Linked DNA regions of Drosophila melanogaster. The protein of the gene in region 1 interacts with the protein of each later gene in a pairwise test. Each region holds a gene or a part of one and is shown in the gene's direction. Other genes may lie near its edges.

What was found. The genes of interacting proteins can lie anywhere in the genome.
Region 2: the proteins of CG5002 (region 1) and C901 interact in a two-hybrid assay, tested with the Drosophila melanogaster proteins (one large-scale study listed by BioGRID).

Annotation. Positions count from the first base shown.
Region 1 is NT_033778.4:17,746,831-17,755,068, forward strand, and holds CG5002 (uncharacterized protein), read left to right. Parts: upstream 1-3,462; 5' UTR 3,463-3,604; coding exon 3,605-3,620; intron 3,621-3,941; coding exon 3,942-4,241; intron 4,242-4,300; coding exon 4,301-4,525; intron 4,526-4,599; coding exon 4,600-4,715; intron 4,716-4,940; coding exon 4,941-5,244; intron 5,245-5,303; coding exon 5,304-5,606; intron 5,607-5,668; coding exon 5,669-5,814; intron 5,815-5,876; coding exon 5,877-6,047; intron 6,048-6,109; coding exon 6,110-6,316; 3' UTR 6,317-6,384; downstream 6,385-8,238. Other genes in the region: sub (subito), read right to left, coding at 1-546, 608-1,148; CG10931 (uncharacterized protein), read left to right, coding at 2,188-3,225; Sardh (sarcosine dehydrogenase), read right to left, coding at 6,746-7,709, 7,775-7,917, 7,971-8,238.
Region 2 is NC_004354.4:10,963,530-10,970,164, reverse strand, and holds C901 (C901), read left to right. Parts: upstream 1-3,030; 5' UTR 3,031-3,097; intron 3,098-3,610; 5' UTR 3,611-3,612; coding exon 3,613-3,750; intron 3,751-3,816; coding exon 3,817-3,955; intron 3,956-4,015; coding exon 4,016-4,174; intron 4,175-4,382; coding exon 4,383-4,574; intron 4,575-4,645; coding exon 4,646-4,706; intron 4,707-4,909; coding exon 4,910-5,040; intron 5,041-5,098; coding exon 5,099-5,958; 3' UTR 5,959-6,133; downstream 6,134-6,635. Other genes in the region: vex (vexed), read left to right, coding at 697-773, 868-1,421.

The DNA of each region.
Region 1 (8,238 bases):
GTATGTCCACGGTAAAGACACAGTGCGACCGACTAGAGTTGGCGTTCACCGAGGTGGAGGCGTACGTGGAGCGCTGCTGGCCCAGCCGGAGCAGACGCAGCGCCTCCTCGCTGCTCGTCACGAAAACACTGGTCAGACCCTTGATGAACACATGGCCTTTGTTGCCCACGATCTTCAGGTTTTTTCGTGGCACCTCCCCCAGTTTGTCCTGTTTCGGCGGAATGGCTAGCAGGTCGTACACAAGTTCATTGTAGATCTCCACGAAGGACACCCAAACCAAGACGGAAACATCGGTGGAAGCCTTCGTTTCGAACATGTGGTCGCCATCAATGACCTGCTTCAGACGCTGATGGTGGGCACTGATATCCGGACATAAGTCTAAAAGTTTTTTCCGAATCTGCAGCTCTTTCAGCGAGGCGTCGTCCTGCAAGAACACGATGCTGCCATTGATTAGCTTCAGCTTGGGCGATCGGAAGACGGTGTCCTGGTAAATGGTGAATATGTTTTCCAGGGCACGCGGAATGATTCCAGCACGCACATCATCGCCTAAAAATGGATTTAAATTAACAATTGCCCAGCAAACTTGTTGCAAGTCCTCTTCGCTTACCCAGTAAGGTATACGTTTTTCCAGACCCCGATGTGCCATATGTCATAATGGTCACACATTCCTCCTCCATAATTTTGGGACCCACACAGGTATCATAGATGTCTCGCTGGCCAACGGTGCTGTCAAAGATGGAAGTGAATCCAAAGTGTTTTTCCATGCGGTTCACATTGTTGCTGGTCGAGTCCACTTTGCAGCTAGTGATCAGCACATTTGCTTCTTCCGAGACTATGTAGGCTTTGGATGCATCCTTAACGGGACGCAAGCGCAGGAAGACCTGTGGCCCCGTTTCCACGTTGCTGCTGTCTGCCGCACTGGTAGCGCATGAGGCCCCTTCGGTTGCCTCGCTCGACTGGTACTTGTACTCCGATTCCGTGTCCGAGTATTCGGAAAAACTTTCTTCCTCCGACTCCTGAATGTTGTCAAACAGACGCATCTTTTTGTTGGGTCGCGGTCGAAAGCGGCGGTCGATGGAGGGATCCCGGGCCATCAGGAAGGAGCGCACCTCCCGCCTTGGCACCTCCGAAACCTCCTTGCTGTCCATTTTGCGCTGTTTATGTGGGTTGAAGGGATACTTTTTAGTTTACTTCACTTCGCGCTATTTTTCAGACGCCAGGGGGCTGCCAACTTTACTTGAATTTCAAATGATAGCTGGCAGCTCCACTGGCTAGTGTGACCGTTGATCATTTGAATTAGCCGTTACAAAATACCATCAATAACATTTAATGTAGAAATTCAATTTTTAATAAAAAAGATAAATTTTGACAAAAAAAAATCGATAGCAACACGTTCCAGTTATTATAAATAATTTCAATTCATTCTAGTACTAGCACACATTTTTAGTATAAAAATTCATTGATTCAAACTTTATAAAATAATAAAGGCATATATGTGCAGTTAAAATCCAAATGTTACTAAAATTTAAGTTAAAAATTCACTTTAAGTCTGTTAAATTACCATGCAAATATTAAGTTCACTGACTTGATTATCGCGCATTCTCCAATTTTGCCCATATGTAAGATTAGCAGCGTCGACAAATAATTAGGTGACAAATTGCCGGCACGGCACAGCACCGGCCATTTGTTTAATGTTTGGTTAACAAGTCTGGACAGCATAACAATAACAGGCTGCGCAAATAGAGCACCCTGTCGCCAAATAAGTACTCCCTTAAAACGCAAATTAATTGGGCTTGTTTACTTTTTCCAGTCTGATTTTTTACGCCCCCTGTCTGGGAATTCAAACAAATATTGACTAAATGAGTTATAAGTAGTTGTAGAAACAATTAACAATTGTATGTACTAGACAAATATTGTAAAAAAGTGTTTAATGAATTATCAGTACGTGTGTACTTTTTCTCGCGATAATTAAAAACAGACTCAACATTTGTAGGTAATTAATTTAAAAAAATAATAAAAACTTAAAACTGGGCGCCAAAAATAATCGGGTAAATGATGAAATGAAAACCCTTTTTACAAAATATCAGCAAGCTTTTGTCAACTCAGGAACTGTCACCATCATCGCCAAGTTTTCGAACTTTTCGCAGGATTCGTAAGAAATTAAAATTGGGCGAAAAAAATAAAATTATGGAATTGATTGAAACAGCTTCGACTCCTGGAGATTCCGAAACTGAAATCGCCATCCCGGAGGCCGCTTTCGATTCCTTTAAGATGCCTATGCTACCAAGTCAGTTCCATTTGGAGAACTCCATGTCTCCGGGCTACGCCATTAAGCACTCGCTCCTCGGTCACAGTGGTTGCGTTACTGGTCTAAAGTTTAGTTCGAATGGCGAGAACTTGGTCAGCAGCTCCGGCGATAGGCTGCTTAAGCTCTGGGACTTGAGCGCAACCCGATGCATTCAATCGCTGGCCGGGCACGGAGACGGAGTCAACGATGTCGCCTGGTCGGCGGCTGGATTAATTGCCAGTTGTAGCGATGACATGACCGTGCGTCTCTGGGATGCCCGCAGCAAGCTCTGCGTCAAAGTTTTGGAGGGGCATTCCAGGTACAGTTTCTCCTGCTGCTTTAATCCGCAGGCCAATCTGCTGGCCTCCACTAGCTTTGACGAAACAGTGCGCCTTTGGGATGTCCGCACTGGCAAAACGCTCAAAATCGTCCACGCCCACCAGGATCCCATAACATCGGTGGACTTCCACCGCGATGGCAATATTTTTGTCACCAGCAGCTATGATGGGCTGGTCCGCTTGTGGGACTCTAGCACCGGGCATGTGCTGAAGACTCTCGTTGACGTTGACAACATCCCGGTCGGATATGTGAAGTTCTCACCGAACGGACGCTACATCCTGTCGTCCACATTGAACAACACCCTTAGGCTATGGAACTACAAGAAGCCCAAGTGCATGAGGACCTATCGCGGGCATTTGAATGAGTTCTATTGCTCCAACTCCAATTTTTCCACCACCGGCGGCATTTGGATTGTCTCCGGCAGCGAGGATAATACGCTTTGCATCTGGAATCTGCAGACGAGGGAGCTGGTGCAAAAGATAAGCACGGAGGGCGACCAGATTTTGAGCACACATTGCCATCCCACGGCAAATGTGATTGCTAGCGGCGCCCTACAAAATTCATATGCCATTAAAATCTGGAAGAGCAGCGAGAAGTAGTTCCAACAATCAACAAAATTCCTCCACTCATTAGCTTGTAATTATTTTCTTTATATAAATAAGCCGGCCATGTCATTAGCCAAATATTAAGGTTGTCTTTGTAATTGTTTATCAACGGACTAACAGAGCGAACATGATATGGCGGCACCGGTACCTGCGCTTGTAAATCTTATATGGCCAGAATGTGCGAACGCGATTGCTTTCGGTCTCTAAAGCCGTTGGACGACGGCGATCGGAGCGGCAGTCGCGTTTGGAGCAGCACACTGAGCGGACGCGTTAGCTCCCCGGTTTTGATTACAGCCATTGCCTTTGCATCGCAGCCGGTTTCCCTATCGTTCTCGGAACTACAGCCCGGTTTAAAGCTGGAGAGCCACCCGCGATGAGAGCCGATGAGGGTGAGTAACTGCTCCAGGGGTTTTTCCGGAAGCAGCGATCGCGGCGATCAGGGTCAATTGATTTGATGCGTTTCCAGCGATTGTGGGGGCTGTAATCGTATAAAATACGTGCCAATTCATAAAAGAGTATCTGAATGCACCTTATCTGCGTGGGGTAGCCCAGGTTGTCTGGCGATAAGATGACCAGCCCAAAGTCAATATAAAACACTGATCGACAGATGTGCGAACAAGTTGCTGCCAGGCAAGATTAGCCCCGCACGGGGAGGGGTTATCTTGGCACACTTAAATACTCCTTATCCAAGGCTTGTTTTGAATTCGCAGATAATCTGTACCGGGAGCAACTGCCCAATGTGAGCACGCTTATTAGGGATGGCGGTCGTAAGCTGTGCCGTCCGTCCACCGTGACCAACAAGTTCCCGATCCTGAAGTGGCTACCTCGTTACCGATTGGAGTACATCATGCAGGACTTTATTGCGGGATTCACGGTGGGATTAACGACTATTCCCCAGGCGATTGCCTATGGAGTGGTGGCCGGCTTGGAGCCGCAGTATGGTTTATACTCCGCCTTCATGGGTTGCTTCACATACATCGTGTTTGGTTCCTGCAAAGATGTCACAATTGGTGAGTTCAGATGTGGGGTAAATTTCTGCTATCAGTGCTAATTTCACAACATCCACTAGCCACAACCGCCATCATGGCTCTAATGGTCAACCAGTATGCCACTATCAGTCCGGATTATGCGGTTCTGGTGTGTTTCCTAGCTGGTTGCATTGTACTTCTACTTGGATTGCTCAACATGGGTGTACTGGTCAGGTTCATTTCGATTCCCGTAATCACTGGCTTCACCATGGCGGCGGCCACCACAATTGGCAGTGCCCAGATCAACAACATCGTGGGTCTGACCAGTGAGTTGCGAAATTATTTTTTTATTTTCTAGAAATTTCAAACTACCTGAAACATTGAAATGCATTGAAAATAGGTCCTTCGAATGATTTACTGCCCGCCTGGAAGAATTTCTTCACCCACTTGACGTCAATTAGGCTCTGGGATGCCCTGCTGGGTGTCTCATCTCTGGTGTTCCTGTTGCTCATGACGGTGAGAAGAAAATAAAAACGAAATTTTATTAAATTTCAATATCAATTTAAGCCAATCAACAAAATTCTTGCAGCCGCTTGATTTTGATTTCGGGTTAAAAACCTTAAGATACAGCATAAATTTGGCTCTTCAGAATTAGTTGCTTTATTAACTTAAGTTAACTTGATGGTTGCATTATATATTATATATATTATTCACTAATTTACAAATGTAATATACTTTCAGCGTGTTAAAGACATCAAATGGGGCAATCGTATATTCTGGAAGTACCTTGGTCTCTCCCGCAACGCCCTGGCTGTGATCTTTGGCACCTTTTTGGCCTACATCCTCAGTCGAGATGGGAATCAACCCTTCCGTGTCACTGGAAACATTACGGCCGGAGTACCGCCCTTCCGGCTGCCGCCCTTTAGCACCACCGTAGATGGAGAGTACGTTTCCTTTGGCGAGATGATCAGCACTGTCGGCGCATCCTTGGGTTCCATCCCCTTGATTTCGATCCTGGAAATAGTAGCCATATCGAAGGCATTTTGTAAGTATAATTTGAATTAGTTCTAAAGCCATTTATACTAAGGAATTCTAAATTTTCAGCTAAGGGAAAAATTGTAGACGCATCGCAGGAGATGGTGGCACTGGGAATGTGCAACATCATGGGCAGCTTTGTGCTCTCCATGCCCGTAACGGGATCCTTTACCCGCACGGCTGTGAATAATGCCAGTGGGGTGAAGACACCACTGGGTGGAGCTGTCACCGGTGCCCTGGTGCTCATGGCACTGGCATTCCTTACCCAAACTTTCTACTTTATACCCAAATGCACGCTGGCTGCAATTATTATAGCGGCGATGATATCGCTAGTGGAGCTGCACAAGATTAAGGACATGTGGAAATCTAAGAGTGAGTTTATGCTGATAAAGTTTTGTAGGTATTACTACTAACGCTCTGTCTTAACTTTCCAGAGAAGGATCTGTTTCCCTTTGTGGTCACTGTACTCACCTGCATGTTCTGGAGTCTGGAGTACGGAATACTGTGTGGCATCGGTGCCAACATGGTATACATTCTATATAGCAGTGCACGTCCACATGTAGACATCAAACTGGAGAAGGTGAGCTTATCCTATCTTATCTAGATGCAATTTACACTAACAAATCATATATCATCTACCAGATCAATGGTCACGAAGTTAGCGTGGTGGATGTGAAGCAAAAGCTGGACTATGCATCGGCTGAGTATCTCAAGGAGAAGGTGGTGCGCTTCCTGAACAACCAGAATGGCGAGACCCAGTTGGTGGTTATCAAGGGCGAGGAGATCAACTCCATTGACTATACAGTGGCTATGGTAAGTGGGCCGCTAAAAGCACACAATCTGATTGATAATAATGTTTGCATCCCCATATATAGAATATTGTCTCGATGAAGGGCGATTTGGAGGCACTGAACTGCGCCATGATCTGCTGGAACTGGAACATCGCCTCCGCCGGAGTCGTCTGCCGACTCAACAACGATCTCCGTCCCATCTTCAAGTTCGATTTATCGCTGGAGGAGGTGGTAGCTGGCCACTTCGATAGTCCCTCCAATACGGCCTCCACCGTAACCATCGAGGCCTGAAGAACCTAGTTTATTATAAGCTGAAAGTATTGCATCAATATCACAATTATATGAAATTTCATTTAAGCAAAGAAATCCACTTGAGTGGCGACCCTCTGTCTGGCCGAGGTGTCCAAGTGCTCTAGAATTACGTCTGGAAAGGCATATCCTTCGCGGAAACCGAGAATGATGTCATAATAGTTGGACACAGAAATTAATTGAGCCGTAACCGCAACCATTTCGGGTGACCACTTCGCAGACTGCCTGTCTGCCTACACCGTGACCTTTCTTCGAACCTTTTCATATTCATGGGGAAAGTAATTTATGACCCTACATGTATGTTAAGGCAGGCACTTCAACAATACCGTCGTGCCCTGCCAGAAAGAGAAAGGTTGAGAGAAATTCCCTATGCCGGGTAAACGAGTTCTTGGAAGTGGAAGAGACTAATCTTTATTTATTGGACTTGGACTCGGATGCATAGTTACCGAGAACCCGTTGGCCGGTAGGATCGAATGGGCTGCGCAAGTGACAGTCGGCGCGGTATTTCTTGCCCAAGATGTCCACCTCGTACTCCCCGTTCCGAATGTAATCAGCATCGATGATCTTGCCATCTGGTCGGGACACGTATGTCTGACCGAGGGACTTTCCAAGGGTATAGGCATATTCAGCTCGTCTAAGTATGCCCACGGGCTCGCCATTTCGGTAGACTCCCTCCAAACCCCAGATGGGCACCTGATCCCGGAGCGTCAAGTAGACCAGTCGCTTCTTTAGGCCCTCAGCTCGCTGATTTTCGATGGCCGCCTTGCCACGGTAATCTGCACCCGTTTTGCGACATGTGAATCCCAAGCCAGCTTCCAGGGGCGTGTCATCCGGTCGCAGATCGAAGCTCCATAGATGATAGCCTTTTTCGCTGCTGAGGGAGTAAAGGGAACGGTAGCCAGCATTGCGCAAATCCTCTCCAGCTCCCGCTTTCATCAGACTCCGATAGACGGCAGCACAATCCTTCTTGGGCACATGAAGCTCGTAGCCCAGTTCTCCCACAAAGCTGACCCGCAGCAAACGGAGACCCACATCACCGAATTTGGCTAATCGAGTGCTGTTGGGAGCTACGTGCTCATCGGACAGATCACAGTCGATGAGGGGCTGCAGGATCTTTCGGCTGTTTGGTCCTTGAATAGAAATCACACCCAATTCGGCAGTCAGATCCTTGAGGCTCGCATTGAATCCTTTTCGACGGATCTCTGCCAGCAAAACACTGTAAGTGTAGAAGGCAGAAGCGCCGCCAGCCACAATATAAAAGCCCTGGCCATTGATCTTGGGATTGTAGACCTCTCCAGAACCGGGAGCAAGGCGGGAAATGGTCACATCCGCCTCCACTCCGCCGGCATCGTTTAGAGCACAGGTGTAGACAGTTCTAAAATGGAAGTGGTAATTGTTTAGAAAGGTTTCTAAATTTGTATATCTATACATGGATCTTACTTGCTGGGATCCCTGTTGGTATTGGCGGAGAATAGCCAGTCAGCGGCCTCCTGGGCCTGTGGACCATCTAGAAGCAGCTTGGCGAAGTAGCTCATGTTAAAGACCACGGCGTTATTGCGACATGCCAGGGCCTCCGAACCGATCTGAAAGATATATATCATTATTTTGGCTTTCCATAAGCTACTTAGCTACCTACGAGATCGTGGTACTCCGAGAAGCGGCTGTAGTGAAGATCCCCATCCAGAACTCTCTCGTACTCGCTGTCCTTGTGCCTCTGGTGGACATAGCTTCCGTACCAGTCATAGGGCTGAACCACCGCCTTCTTGGAACCGGTGGGCAGGAAGAAACCAGGCCGTTCCCAACCCTGCTTCTCCTCCATTACGGCGCCTGCCTTCATCATCTCGTCGTGAAGTGGATCCTTTTGGAAATCACGACCCGCCAGTGGTTGATCATACTTGAAGACC
Region 2 (6,635 bases), on another chromosome or scaffold:
AAATGCCCCAAAATGTCGGGCACTTTTGAAATTTCCTACGCAATTTCCGTTGTCAACACCTTGACAGCTGTCAGACGCACACACAGACACTCTCGACACTCTTGCACACTTACACACGCACACCCGCACACCACACACTCAAAGGCACTTGTCAGTTCGATTTTTCGCCTGCCATGTTTGTTTTTGCTCTTTTTTGCCTAACGGAAACGGAAATTGTTAGGCTTAATAGACAATTCGCATTTCCTCTTCCTTTGAAGTCCTGTATTCAGCAGCCCGCTTCAGTCCGCACAATTGCACAAATCAGTGCTCCTGCTGCTGTTTCTGTCTACTTTGCGTCCGTTGATGGAATCTGAATCTGAATTACAATAATTGTAATATTTAACATCTCAATGGCCAGCCAGATCCTTTGCTCCTCTAATGAGGCGTCACCGAAGGACATGCATAATCAATGAAGGACCAAACGGACGAATGAATCGCTCAATGAGCGACTGAATGAGTGAATACCCAAATAAGCGAGCGTTTCGAAGGCGTAGGATGCAGATTATGAGGATGGATTAATTAATTAAGCATTATTTAGCCAGTGAAACCGATTTCATCTTTAAATCTATTTGAATGTTTTGCAAATTATTAAGATATTCGCATCTCTTCTTTGTATAATTATTAATAATTTGCGCTATTCTTAAACTTTCTTTATAGATACTGCGTGGAATTCGAGGTAATAAAATCATCTAAAGCCTGCAACAAGTTGCCGCCATATAACCTGATGACAGAAGGTAAGAAAAATCAAAGTAACTAAAGTAGTATTTAATATTTATGCAATCAAATGTGTAAAATAATATTTTGACTGTCTTGTGTTTTATTTTCCAGGCGATCGCATCACGGTGCGCTGTGACCTTGAGGCATTGATCCAAGACTCAGCCGGCAGCTCCACCACCGCCAGGACACCACAAGGACCCACTACGCCGTCCACGACCACAGTTTCATCCGCAGCCTCTGCCTTTGGCCAGCGTACGGATGACCTTGAGGAGGAGCGACTGCAGCGTGAGACCAGCAGCGAAGAGGAGGCGACCAATCAGGATGGCGAGGCGGAGGAGGAGGATGAGGAGCCGGAGCAGGATGAGCAGGATGACCTGCAGAATGCCCTGGACTCGGACAGCAACGAGAGTACCGACTACCGTCACCAGCGGCAGTCGCAGATGTCGCAAATGTCGCACAGCCGCCGGACAGCGGGAAAGCGCAGCGCTGTGCCGGCCACGCCCTCGCCCACGCTGCCGCCCACCTACCATTGCCGGGGGGAGGGGCTGGCCGGACGCACGACACGTTGGAGCGCGCTGCCGGCGCCGTCGTGCCGCGGCAAATGGCTCCGTCTGACCGTCGGTCCGCCCAAGAAGTGCGGCCACGCCCAGTTCATCTTCGTCTAAGGCGACGTGGTCATGCCGCCCACTCAAGTTGCGGTGTCCATTTTTTTTTTTCTCCGTGTAGGTTATGGTGTACGGTCTCCCCCACTCATCATATCATATCATATCACCCGCGCCCCTGCCACGCCCCCTCACTTCCGGCCCAAAATCAATAAAGTACCCCATCGTATGTAAGCGTTTAAACATTAAGCCAGTGGATTAAGAAGATCATAGCATATGTATGTATATGTATGTGTGATGAGGTCAGGATTTTTTTTTTTGTTTGTCTCGCTAGAGAAGAGAACCGGAAATAAAGGATACACTGCCAGTGAAATATAGGGTATATATGGAGGAATATCACATATTTCTGAAGTTTTCGAGGGGTTCTACAATTTCGGACTACTAACTTCTGCTCTCTTAGATACTTTATAAATTTAAAAAAAAACTTCCAAAGACTTATGATCTCCTCCACACACATGATATTCATCATATAACCATATTGATATCACGGCTGCTGTGGACTTCCTTCGGTTAGCATTTCTCTAATTAGTTAAGGAAACACTCGCGTGTAAGCATTTGGGCTCAGGACCCAATCAACAACTCAATATAAATGCTGGGGGTCTGTGAAGACGCTCGGATCTCGGATCGGATAATACTAGAAACTAGAGACTAAGTCATCAAATACCGCATAACATCTACAGTGAAAATGGAGTCGAGCTGCGTAGTGAAAGAACCTATATATACATGTATGTGGATGTGCACGAGTGTATCTGTCTAATCGTTAGTTCCCCCCGACTCGCAAGCATATAGCACACACACGTTCTACACATAACATAACATATATGATACATTTGTCAAAAGCAAATGATTAAGGCCCACAATTTTTGGTTACCCAACTGGCAGACAACCCTCTGGAGTCGGAATTAACGTTTGGATCTTAGTATTAATCTGGATTTTAGGTACACACGAATGTCGAAATAATTATTATAATTATAATTAAACCAATAATGAGATCATTCAATAAAGAACGAGTATAATTTTAAAGTAAACCAATGTTGTCTTTGAACATTTACCAATCTAGAGTCTTGAGCCATCCTGGTTTATCTACAACTTGTTTGGTGACTCGATCGTCAGTGCTGCACAGTGGGTCGAAAGTAATTGTAAAATAAAATAAAATAAATAGTTTTTGGGCATATAAAAAGAAACATTTAATAGTTAATGCTATTAAAGCATTTAATAGATTGGATATGTAGGCATATAGATCTTTATAGTATAATTACATTATTAATTTAAAATTGTTTCAGATTTTATTTATTTCCTGATTTTGTGGTACAAGTTTTCCTAGTTTTCTTCTTTTTCAAAGTGTAGAGTGGTCCATAAAAACCATATCTGGACCCACTGTGCTTGAGTACTCAGCTGTTTTGGGTTTACCGGTTGACCCAATTACCACCAATGGTCGGTTAGGTGCCTTTCAGCGCTCTTTCTCTGGCTTTGCCTCTCGGCTTCGAGGCTTGAGTTCACGGTGAAGGCCAGAAGAATGACAGAGAGAAGAGCGAAGACTTGACTTGACTTGACTTAAAGAAAGAGTCGAGAATCGGCCAGAGGCAGCTGGTCCGACGAGGCGGCTACTTGATTAGTCCCAAAGCGATCGCAGACCGAGACGGACCGACGACAAGAAGCTGCAGTCTTAACCGTTAAAAGTAATTCTTTTGCATTTGCATTCTTCAAGTTTCATTTCTTCTCGCCAGTGGTGATTCATCAAGAAATCGGTTGTTTGGTTGTCGGGTTCTCTGTCGGCGGTGTGATTCCCGTTCTTTTTGGTTCGGCCGCGAAGAAAGTTGTCTTCAAACATGTTAATTGCGACGAGGGGCCGTGGGCCGTCGATTTCTTTTAACGGTCTAAGTTTGGCCAAACGAAAACACTTTTCGTTTAAGCCGATAATCGAAAACATCTAGACATTTGACAAGGCCTACACTTAGGTTTTCTTTATTCAGTCATAAAGTTCAGCACATTAAGTTGGTTTAAAGTCTAAGAAACTTTTTTTGTGAAGAGGTCGTTAGATCCGACTTAGATGATCTTGCTTTTTATGTACACATAAAAGCCATTATTTGCAGGGAATTTTAACGGAGTAGTCAAACGTATAATATTAATAATATTATATTTATTAATAGAAACAACAAACACTTATTATATTATTATTAAATCGGACTTAGATATGTTGTCAGACAAAAAGGCGGCTCTCCTGCTGGTGACCGCGATTACCGCCCTCAAATTGGAGGAAATGAATGCCTATAGACGCAACTTCGATGCGCGGCAAAGTAGTAATTCGAATATTCCACTCTGGAAACAGCGAGTAAGTTGGAGAACCTAACGTTCATAATTTTCTCGAACCAATTCCGAAAATATTCGATTACCTAAGGCCTGTGAGAAATCACAGAAACAGCGGCAAAATGCACACTATGTTTGCGATGAAAAAGGTGACTTCAAGTGCCTTCCTGGGTGGCAGGGTGATCTTTGCCAGGTGCCTATGTGTCGAAGGGGCTGTGACCCGATGAATGGTATGTTTACTCCTTCAGATGATTCCCTATCTTGTGACCCCTGAACTCACATTCACACAGGTTATTGCCAGCGACCCGGTGAATGCAGGTGTCGCATCGGATACAGCGGCGAACTCTGCGACAAGTGCATTCCGCTTCCAGGTTGCCAACATGGCGGATGCACCAAGCCATTCGAGTGCATCTGTAAGCCTGGCTGGGCGGGACTCTTCTGCACGGAACGTAAGTAGTTACCGGAAAAGGATAAGCCTGATTACAATCTTACATTTAAAGAACGGAGCATTTAGAGAAGGAGTTAAAACATAGGGAACTAATATCGTTTTGGGGGTTGTACTTGTTATATGACATTTCCAATCAAATCAAACATTCCTAACTCTGTCCAATCCGATTACTCAATTGCCTGTTTCCTCCAATCCGCGCGCAACCAAAGCAAGTTGCCGTACCGGATGCCACAGCACCCGTGGATATTGCGAAGCGCCTGGGGAGTGCCGCTGCCGGATTGGTTATGCTGGACGCACCTGCTCCGAATGCGCCACGATGCCGGGCTGTCAGCACGGCACCTGCAACAAGCCACTGGAATGCCTCTGCCTACCCGGATATACCGGACTACTTTGCCAGACGCGTAAGTCCTGCAACCACCAAAGGAATCCGCCATTCACCCTACTAATCCCAAACTCCATTCCGCCATTCCAGCAATCTGTGACCCAGATTGCAGCAAGCAGCACGGATATTGCCGCAAACCTGGCGAGTGCCGGTAAGTAGGAGCAGCATTTCAATAAAGAAAATGCAGAAAATGTGGTTTCGGCAAGCTGGAGTGCCCCTTTTCGGATAAGTCAACTATTTTTATCCTTAATTTAACATTCCCAAGCATTATGGCTCAGTTAGCTAACAGCAAACTAACAGCAAAACGAACCCATATCTGTCATCAATTTTCACGGACATCCCCTTCTTCTCCAGCTGCAAGGTGGGCTGGACGGGTAGCCAGTGCGACAAGTGCTTCCCGTATCCGGGATGTGCCAATGGGGATTGCGAGGCGCCATGGGAGTGCAACTGCCATCCCGGCTGGGGCGGAATGCTGTGCGACGAGAGTGAGTATATCCGTATATGTGACCATGCCAACGGGAAATTGACCGAGTTGACCCACAGAGCTCACCTACTGCGTGGAGCATCCGGATACGTGCGAAAACGGGGGCAAGTGCACATCGCTGAGTCGCGAGGATGGGAGCTACCAGTGCCAGTGCCGGCAGGGATTTCTGGGCAAGAACTGCGAGATACGCGATGACTTTCTGCTGACCTCAGAGGCGCCACCGCGAATCACACCGCCCACACCCGCTGAGCTCGTACTGGAACTAGATGGCGAACTGGACCAGAACGGGCAGCAGGACATCGGTGCAGGTGTGCCCGATGACAGCGAGCCAGGAGGCGGGCTGGTTGGAGAAAAGTTGCCAGCGGGTAACGAGCCGGAGCGGCGGAAAAATGACACGGTAGCCAACGTGGCAACCGCAGGAACTGGAGCTGGAGCAGGACCCATGAATTCACTACCCGGCAACAGCAACGCCACAAGGACGACATTGGTGGTGGCAACTGAAACTGGCAGCGACAATGCGACTAATGAAGCGTTAAGCGCCGTTACAACGAGGCGTGCCACCCCGATTCCCCTCACATCTGGCGAAAAAACCGTAAAGGGTAATGCAACAAGCGTGTCGGTAGCGACAGGACCTCAGCCACGCCCCCCGCTGCCCATCGTCGCTAGCCAGGAGCAAACAATAGCAAATTTGGCGCCAGCTGGAACAGTAACAGTAACAGCAACAACAGCACCAACGGCTACAACAGCCGCAACATCCGTGACCAGCCACAAGGATAAGCCAAATGTGGCAGACGAGGAGGAGGACGAAGATGACGACGATGATGAGGAGGATGAGGATGGCGAGTACGATGAGGAGGAGGATGAGGACGAGGACGACGAGGAGGATGACAGCGATCAACTCATACCAAATATTATATAGTTAAGAACCTGACAAATGACAAGTAATCCCTCTTATATATATATACACATTGTTCAGTTAAGGGCCCACATATGCAGCATCTCAAAGCAATTTTTTTTTTTTTCTGAATATTTATTATTAACTAATGAATGAAACATCCAATTAAAAAACTCCATCCATTGCGATAGATATACATATATAAATTGTATTTATTTATGATAATTTTAGGGATTAAGCTAAGCAATTTTCGATTTAACAAATGTCAAAAAAAAAAAATGATATTATTAAAGTTTGCTAATCTTAAGTGCTACAAGAAATCGTTGAATCGAAATATGAATAGGGGACCAGAGGATTGGACTCAGAGCCTGTGGGAGTTCAATTCCTGCACTCGGATTGCACTTGGTTCGCTTAAACTTAAGACAAATGGGGGACTACGAGCTCGGGTTTGAATGGGGATCTATATGGCCATCTTAGCGCCACCGAGTTGGGGGTAGTACGATTGGATTGGGTATCGAAAATTGGAATATGGAAACCAGCACATCATAGACATCTAAACATACATATGGACTCTTGCATATGGGCGTTAATAAATATATGTAGTAACTGGTATGGGAGACTTACGAATCGACAAAAAAATATGTAGAAGTATGGGAGAGAGAGAGAATGACTCAATACAATATCGATACGAATAATAATAA